2 linked regions of the Neodiprion lecontei genome follow. Each later gene encodes a partner of the first gene's protein in a complex. Links are inferred from orthologs where the notes say so. Each region holds a gene or a part of one and is shown on either strand. Other genes may lie near its edges.

Region 1 (4,359 bases):
ACGAACTAAACAGAAATAAATTTGAATTGAAAGATAAATTTTTCTAAGTAAAGGAAGCGTGACAGTATGATCAAGAATGGTTTCGAACGTGTACCTGTTTCTCTTTTTCCATAGCATTACGACCCGTTCAGCTTCGGTATTCTATTTTTCACTATCAGTTGCTAGGGTGACTTTACTCAGACATTCGCAGAGTTCCAGAAATTTAGCCGCTGTTCATTTCTGTAATTAGGTGAAAGACGCAACATTTTGTTAACGTTTCATTTTCATAATTCGTATACGTAATATTCATACATGCACGATTTTAGATGATATATTGCGACAAATTTTGAAAATGATCTCAAATATTTCGTACCTGTTATTTTTCGTGATAAATTGATCTCTTCAGCTATGGCATGATGTTTCCAGCAACCATTGGCAGTCTCTGTCAATTCAGATAATCATTAGCGTCGATCAACGTTGTTACGGTTCATTTCTGTAATCAAAAAGATACCGTAATATTTGGTTAGTAATGCAACTTCAAATTTGATGTACGCAGTATTCAAGATTTACTACAATTTTTAAAAAGTATACAATTCGGAATAAATAACCATTAAAGATTTACAGATTCTTGCGTTGTCCGATCGCTTCGTGATTGTTAGATATACGGTACAATTCTAAAACTAGACCCAAGATATTGGCAAGATCAATTAGCACTCGAAATTTGAAAATAAACAACGCCATCATAGACGAACTTTTGATGTATGCACATTACTACAATAAAGGATTACAGCATCGACCCCCAAGGCAGTAATTCGGAGAAACACGGTGCAGTAGTAAACAAAAGTCGACTTTTGTTTTGGAACAGTATCAACACGACGCGTAAACACATCTTATCCTTAAGCTCGACCGAATCAAACTCGTCTTGTCCGCCAACGTTGGAATCAATTTTATCGAATGTTTGAGAAACGACGCTGCAGCGAACCAAGGGGTTGTAAATGCGTTACAATTCCACTTCACAGACGTGTATCCATGCGACAAACGCGAATTGCGTTTCAAAATCTGATACGCGGACTCGAACTGAGCATACGCCAATTCGTAAATTTCGTTTTATACGAGATTGAGCTGAGTGGCGTTATCGTAACGAAACAATGGCGAAAACATACCTATTTTCTCAATTTTACAATGACTTTGAAGGAATTAAGATTTCAGAATATGAGCCTATGTATGTCATACGTACTATTACGTTTCACTGAATTTTGAGCAATTCCAAAGTCGCAAAACAACAATTTTCCCTCAGTATAAACCGTTACGATAACGTTACTAACTTCAGTACGATTATTTTATCAACCGTTCGCATCACCCAATTCAATTGTTTTCTACGTCGTAATGTATCGAATTCTTCAAACTCGCAAAACAATTGAAAGTATGAAACTCACCTTAAATGTTCTCAGCCTGGTCTCTCTTCGAAACGTCGTTTTTTCTGTGCATCACACGCTGCTATTCCTGCATTATTCACTATTGGTGGAGGTACACTAATTGAACGACACGACACATCAATCTGAATAACGCGATTTAATAATATGAATTCTGGACCGTCGGCGAACACAATGCTTCTGCTCCTTCTACTCCGGCCGCTCGAAAGCGAGTGACGCCGTGAGTCCATCTAGACGGGGTTTGGCCGTGTTTGCGTTCTGTCTCTTTCTACAGCGGCGCCGCCTATGGATTGTTTTGAACACGAGTCCTCGCTCTACGTCGCTACTGGATTGAATGAGTTCGTGGAACGTCACTCCGCTTCGGCAATAATCATCGAACCAATCTGTTAATTGAAAAAAAATCGTAACAAACTATCGCCTTTCCACGGCGTTAGTGAAATAAAGAAACGGTTATTCCTCGTGTAAAATAACAGCGTCGAATCGAGTACCAAGTTGAGAATCCAAATGGCTACCTTGGAGGATAAATCTATTTGGGAGGATGGAGAGGTGAGTCGATTTTCCGTCGAAGTGTAAAATTTTTAAGGGTTATGTTGACCCGAATGACACGACAATTCCGGCTCGCTTTACCCTTGGAAAGCGAAAATCTATCATGTGCTAAATTTTTGTTAAATTCTTGACATCACATAGCTACTAGTGGCTCCCATAACCGAATAACATCACCAAATTTAATATCACTCTCATTCTCAAAAAGGAAACGCTGGGCGAAGATGTTCTGCGTATGTCCACGGACGAGATAGTTTCTCGTTCCCGTCTCCTGGACAACGAGATAAAAATAATGAAAAGCGACGTGATGAGAATATCGCACGAGCTCCAGGCGCAGAACGAGAAGATAAAGGAAAACACAGAGAAGATAAAAGTTAACAAAACACTGCCGTACCTTGTATCGAACGTCATAGAATTACTGGACGTGGATCCCCAGGACATGGGCGAGGAGGACGGAGCAGTTGTGGACCTAGATGCGCAGAGGAAGGGAAAATGCGCGGTGATAAAAACTTCAACTCGTCAAACATACTTTCTGCCTGTGATAGGACTGGTCGACGCCGAGTCACTCAAGCCCGGTGACCTGGTCGGCGTTAACAAAGACAGCTACCTCGTCCTGGAAACTCTACCCGCCGAGTATGATGCCAGAGTAAAAGCGATGGAGGTTGACGAACGGCCAACCGAACAATACTCTGACATCGGAGGTCTGGACAAGCAGATCCAGGAGCTTATAGAAGCCGTTGTCCTGCCCATGACTCACAAAGAGAAGTTCGAAAATTTGGGAATCCAGCCACCCAAAGGAGTGCTTCTTTATGGGCCACCTGGAACAGGAAAGACGCTTCTTGCTCGAGCCTGTGCTGCACAGACCAAATCCACCTTCCTCAAACTGGCTGGACCGCAGCTGGTTCAGATGTTCATTGGGGACGGTGCGAAGCTTGTACGAGACGCATTTTCACTGGCCAAAGAGAAGGCGCCAGCAATTATATTCATCGACGAACTCGACGCCATTGGCACGAAAAGATTCGACTCTGAAAAGGCTGGAGACAGAGAAGTCCAGAGAACTATGCTGGAGCTCCTTAATCAATTGGATGGCTTCAGCTCCAATGCCGATATTAAAGTTATTGCTGCCACTAACAGGGTCGATATACTTGATCCTGCGTTGCTCAGATCCGGGCGTTTAGATAGAAAAATAGAATTCCCCCACCCCAACGAAGAGGCTAGAGCTCGAATCATGCAGATACATTCACGGAAAATGAACATGTCACCAGATGTTAATTTTGAAGAACTTTCCAGGTCTACTGATGACTTTAACGGGGCTCAGTGCAAGGCTGTCTGCGTTGAGGCAGTAAGTCTTCGTTTTAACAAATTTATACTCCATTCTCGATTGCGCATTAACTCGTGATTTATTATCTCTTTGTGTCATTTACAGGGTATGATCGCTCTCAGACGCAATGCAACTGCCGTCACACACGAAGATTTGATGGAAGCTATCATGGAAGTACAGGCCAAAAAGAAGGCGAACCTTAACTACTATTCATAGATATCCCAAATTTGGCGTGTTTTGATCTTTTTTTTTTTTTTAAAATTAGGCTTATGAGCCAATTGTGAGCCTAACAATTTTTTTCATCACGATTTTTAATAGATTGTAAAAACCCGCAAATAAATCCGCATCCAATACATAAAACGTGTATAAAACTTGCTGAATAAAACTCTTTACGTATTTACGGTTGTGGAATTTTTATTTTTATTTTATAATATCAGTTAAAATACAAAATCATTCAGGCTTCGGTTTCGTGTTTTACACCTTACTTGATACAAGATAAGAAAACAAAATTATCGTGCTTTATTATTAATCGAAAGTAGAATAACTCTTCCTCGGTTTATCGCCTTCTGTGACTCCTCTTCTTAATCCTGAAATTAATTCCACAGATTTAAATGCGGATCGACCATTTTGACGGTGCCTGGTCAATAGATTACGAAAAATATATGTATACTATTTTTGTTTCTCACTTTTTTGGTCCTTTGACGAAACACCAATCGACAGTTATTGGCTGACCCAAGATTTCGGCACCGTTCAGAGCATCTTTTGCCGCTTGAGCCTCCTTAAATGTTTCGTACTCAACCAACGCGTATCCCTTGAGAAATCCAGTCCTCCGATCCAAATTCAAATGTAGATTTTTTATTTGACCAAACTCTGAGAACTTATCCTGTATATCGTCCTCTTGAGCTTCTTCGTGAACAGAGTTTATGAAGAGTATCCATCCCTCAACAGCTGGAAACACGGATATCAGGTAAATGACATTTAATATTTCAACAAGAGAACAAGACAAGGAGTAAGAACAAACAACGCTTTACATCTCTGCGGTCCCGGCTGATCGTCCTCGTCCTCGACAACGTTCATGGACTC
Region 2 (4,989 bases), on another chromosome or scaffold:
GTATGAAAATAAAATGGCATACTGATTAAAATCATGGAATGTTGTTCCACAACTGTACCAAATTTTTGCAATGTTTTCCGATGAATTTTTATTTCGAATTTCATTACGAAACACATGGCCGCATGATTAAAATTGTATCATAACAATTGCTTCTCTGTCCTGCCTTCGAAGATGACTTCCGTTCATAGGAAGATGAAATTAACGACTCGCGTCCCGCAAAACTACCACACAAAGCCCTACGTCTTTCATGCACTTGATATAAAAACTATCGTTAGTTGTTCTCAAAATTTCGCGGCCTCAAGAATCTACACACTATCAAAGCTGTAGGGTCAAGGTTAAGACCAAATTATCAGTTTTTCAAAAATCGAGAAGGCGCAAGAGGCTTGCAATGCAGTACGGCGAAATCGCATCCATGAAAATAGTACCACCTTCCATTTATAAATGAAATCATGGGCAAATCACTTGGTGAAAATAAAAACGAAACGTACTATAGTTAATAGCATGTTCAACATGGTTTCTCGTCGAATAGAGCGAGATATTTTCGAATTTAGTTCAGTGATTTAGTCTCGGTGTAAATACGTAAAGGTCTAATCGTAAGCGTCATTTGTTTATCTTTAAAAAAAACACACTCGCAGGCACACCGCCTGAAATGAAACTTAGGGTGAATTTTGAACTGTTCATTTGAAGATCACTTACCAAGGCCAGCACCACGGATCGAGTTCATTAAGAAAAAGTATTAAATTCAGCAGAAATTTGCACAAATTCATGACGCAAATGCGACTCGATTATGTATGTACGTTCGAACTCTACGGCGTCAGACGTCCCAGAATTCCCTGATTGTGAGTGTCCCGAAAGTAGCGCCGCAGCAGCGCCGCTTGAGGTAAGTTTTCAGAACTGATTATGGAGCACGGAGCATGTCGGTAGCGTATCGATACCGTCATAGCGTGTATCAGTGGTGTAATCGTTTCGAACTGGAGGTAGGCTACCCATTTCATCAACCTCGCGAAATATCGAAAACTGCAGCCAAAGTGATGAGATATATATATACATATATATATATATTCTGGTTGCTTCGCTCTGTCACTCAATCAGGTGTATAGCGAGACAAATTATAACCGACACATACCTTTCACTCTCACTTCTCCGCTATACTTTCTGTACACGCGAAGCTACCACCAGTAGTATATGCTCTTAGTATAATCCACTGTCAATAAATATAGTAAATATAGAGCGCTCGCCCACATTATATCACTCACTCGAAAGTTAGTTTCAAAAATCTAATTCGTGTCTCTTTGATGTTACTAAAGGTGCGTTCCGAAATTGGTTCTCATTGTCGTCAGTACTGTCAATGATCTTTTATTTCTTTTGCGGTTTCGAGTTCGTGTGTAGCTCTGCCTCTGTCCTGGGCAGTTTTTAGCGCCACCAGCTATTTTCAGAACGTTGGAATTTTATGAACAGCAAAACATAGCAGCAATAGCACTAATTCTCTGAAAGATCCTAGCACTTCTGGCAAAAGTTTTTCTCCTTGAAGTCCATTTATACTCTTTGTCCGTAGTAGCAAACGCAAGACATTTTAAGAGCAGCGCTGCTGCTGCATCAAATCACTAGACAGATGTTAGTAACATCTAGTAGGTTACTAAACTGCTGCTGCCTTTTGCTGCCCATGAAATCCCATTTTATAGTGGGGGACATGAAAAACACGTGAAAAACACGAGACTTCTCCGTGCGACGATGCAGCCCGTAAATTCCCTACAACAGTCCACCGAAGGAACCAGACTGCGCATCCTTTCTGAGATATGGCAGGCTTGATTAATCAGTGCAGCCACAACAAAATGCATTGTCATCGAGTTTATCTTTGCGTATAGTGTCGTGCTGTTGCCCGTAGAATCCAGATACGCTAGACCAGTGGCTTTATTGTAATTTATCATAAATCCAAGTGGTAAAAACGTGATAATAAGCATGTCGAGCGGTGCCCTATTCGGTAGCAACGCGACACGCGGCGCGAGCAAAAATCTGGTAGAATTTAAAGCCGGCAAAATGACCGTCAAGGGCAAAATGGTTTATCCAGACACTCGCAAGGGTCTTCTCTACGTCTTTCAGTCAGACGATTCCCTGATGCATTTTTGCTGGAAGGACAGAACCTCCGGAGTCGTCGAGGACGTGAGTATATAACGAGGTTGAATTCAATAACGTTGACCTGACGACACACCGATAATAAACATCACCAATTTAGAATTTCAGACAATGACTCTGAGAAAAGTTCTTCCAGTTTTCAGAATGTCAGATATGGTTCTCCTTATTATGGTGTATTGAGTTTTAGACCATCCTATAATTGAGAAATACTCAACGATTAATTCCCTCAAAATCCATCGTCACGTCATGCTGCGAATTTCAAACTCGTTAGTATCAATCCCAACATCATCAGACTTCAAATTGTATTCTTTCGATACTTATTGCTCGATATTGGAAGTCGGTCTTGCACTTGCTCATATACTGACAACCTCAACTGCCACGAATCACTTGTATGCCTGGACATCGGGTTTGTTTTTCAAGGCAGATCTTTTATTAACCTGTTGACGGCAGGGCCGGTCGATGTATCAACCAGTAGTCACGTTGGGGACTTCTAATAAGAAATTCATTAAACTTATTAACTAATTTTGCATCGAAGAAAAGGTTGATTGGAACTCATATTTCCATACCGTTAAAAGGTTAATTGGCTACTAAATATTAATCAGTTGGATGCTTCATTCTGTCATTTTCTTCTTCATCCCTGGCTTACGAAGCGCAGCGATTTTCTCAGAGCTGACATAACCCTTTTTAAGTGCTGATCAATTTTCATAGATCTGTTTTACACAATGATTTCCTAAAAGGTCTTTTTAACTTATGCTCATAGCAAGCTTTGTTTTAGCTATGATTTATCGATCGATTTGCTGCACTCTTCAAACTGTTACACAAATTCCCAGTCATTTCAAATTATTGTGACAATTTCAAGTTTTCATTTAATATTTTATAATACAAATTGCGCACTGCGCAACGCAACAAATAATTTGCACCAGGTGAGTATTTAATTCTAAATAAATGAATATTTTTGTTAGCTTTTTTATCATTGTCGTTCCGCTTTTCTGCACCAATTCAGAAGTTTATTTAATTGACATGAATATGAATAATTCAACAAGCAGATGAATATTTACTAGATTGTGTAATTGCGGTGTTGTAAATACAAATTAAAATGTGGAGGAAAATAATGTCTATACTTTTTCATATTTGATAAATATAGTTGCATAGGTATATTTAGATCTGTACATAATGGATGATGTTAGACATTGCCAAATGTGCTCTCTCAGCATGACAACAACTTTTGATATTATTATTGCCTAGTTTTCTTTCATCATTTTTATTATTTTCCTTTTATAATGCAACATTTTATTCAACTCTAGAAACATTTAGTCAGACATTCCCTTTCAAAAACAAGATCTAAATACAAAATGTGAGAAAAAAGTATCTATAATATATCGAAATATATGTCTAGAAATTTATACCTTGTTTGGATGCGTCGTCTCAAATTTGTTATGTTTTTCACTTTTTTTTAGGACTTGATCATCTTTCCAGATGACTGCGAGTTCAAACATGTACCCCAGTGCAAGACAGGCAGAGTGTATCATCTTCGCTTCAAATCGTCCAGCAGGAAATTCCTTTTCTGGCTCCAGGTTAATAGAAATATGCAGAGATTTCATTAACCTCTTCGATTATAACAAACGTTTTTCATTAGAAATTTACACCGAAAAACTAATTGATAATTGATTCATCGATTCGCAAACACCGAGAAAAAATACTTCACACATTCCAATAATGTTGAACACCTGTTTAACAACCTTTACTTGACATTTGTGTGATTGTGAGATTTTTTCAATCATTGTCCAATTTATATTAATCTTCTGTGATTCATTGAGTCGATACTTTAAGTGAAACATTCTTTTCGTTGGATTTTCACGGACCATGAATCTGAAAAATAATACTGCGAGTTGTGAAAAAAATTATTAAGCTGCCCTTGTTAAATTTTATTGTATAATCTTATTCTCCTTATCATATAAAGGATCTTAAAACGGACAAGGACGAAGAATATTCAAGAAAGATCAACGAGGTACTGAACAATCCTCCAACGCCGCCGACACCACGTATCGGAGGAGGAACTCCGGATGGAGATCTTCAAAACCTGTTGAACAACATGTCTCAGCAGCAGTTGATGCAACTTTTTGGAGGTGTCGGGCAAATTGGGGGACTGAGCAGCCTTCTTGGTACGATGACCAGGCCATCGACCGGTCAGAGTAGCACCAGAGCTTCAACGAATTCGTCTTCCACTCCCATGACGACAAGCGCGACGCGACCTCCAGCTGCTCAAACACCTGCACCTGCTGCAATCACAGAAACTCCGAGACCGTCGAGTGAGAAATGTTTAGCCTTTTAAGAGGGCTTGAGTTTTTGGAAAGGCGAAAATATTTTTTACGTTTTAAAGCAGAGAAATGAAAAATAATTAGGTCGTTTTTTATGCGATTGAAATTTGCAACGTTAATGTAACAAAGCATTTTTAGGAAATAAAATTATTGTTGTTACGCAATCTTGGGATTATCTGAAATTGATTAAATCACACAGAAGTAAACATACCAAGTTTGTAGTTTGAAAACTCAAACTTCTTCAAAGCCATATAAATATTGCCAAATGGTAATTTTTGTTTCAGTGTTTCGTCATATTAACGTTACTAACTTCATTCTCGTTATATTTTTATTCTTCGTTAGGTTTTATTCTTCGATTGATCAGAATTCAAAGCAAATACAACTGATTGAAAACTAATCAAATATATTATCTACACATCGCAAAATGCTGAAGTTCAATTCCTTGCACTAACAGGGTTCTGAAAATGAAAATTATATTTTTAGCTGTAATGAAAAAATGTAGTATATTACTATTCTTTTTAATTATGGTCAATCATAG

What was found.
Region 2: 26S proteasome regulatory subunit 6A-B (region 1) and proteasomal ubiquitin receptor ADRM1 homolog share a complex: the UniProt entries of both Caenorhabditis elegans proteins name them as parts of the 19S proteasome regulatory particle complex. The link is inferred for Neodiprion lecontei from reciprocal best matches to the Caenorhabditis elegans genes rpt-5 and rpn-13.

What each region holds. Positions count from the first base shown.
Region 1 is NC_060266.1:23,076,664-23,081,022, forward strand, and holds 26S proteasome regulatory subunit 6A-B, read left to right. Parts: upstream 1-1,742; 5' UTR 1,743-1,916; coding exon 1,917-1,958; intron 1,959-2,163; coding exon 2,164-3,297; intron 3,298-3,381; coding exon 3,382-3,492; 3' UTR 3,493-3,676; downstream 3,677-4,359. Other genes in the region: RNA-binding protein 8A, read right to left, coding at 3,833-3,863, 3,963-4,224, 4,308-4,359. UniProt on the Caenorhabditis elegans protein: Component of the 26S proteasome, a multiprotein complex involved in the ATP-dependent degradation of ubiquitinated proteins.
Region 2 is NC_060264.1:19,749,499-19,754,487, reverse strand, and holds the start of proteasomal ubiquitin receptor ADRM1 homolog, read left to right. Parts: upstream 1-1,773; 5' UTR 1,774-1,959; coding exon 1,960-2,160; intron 2,161-3,590; coding exon 3,591-3,707; intron 3,708-4,093; coding exon 4,094-4,442; intron 4,443-4,989. UniProt on the Caenorhabditis elegans protein: May function as a proteasomal ubiquitin receptor. May promote the deubiquitinating activity associated with the 26S proteasome.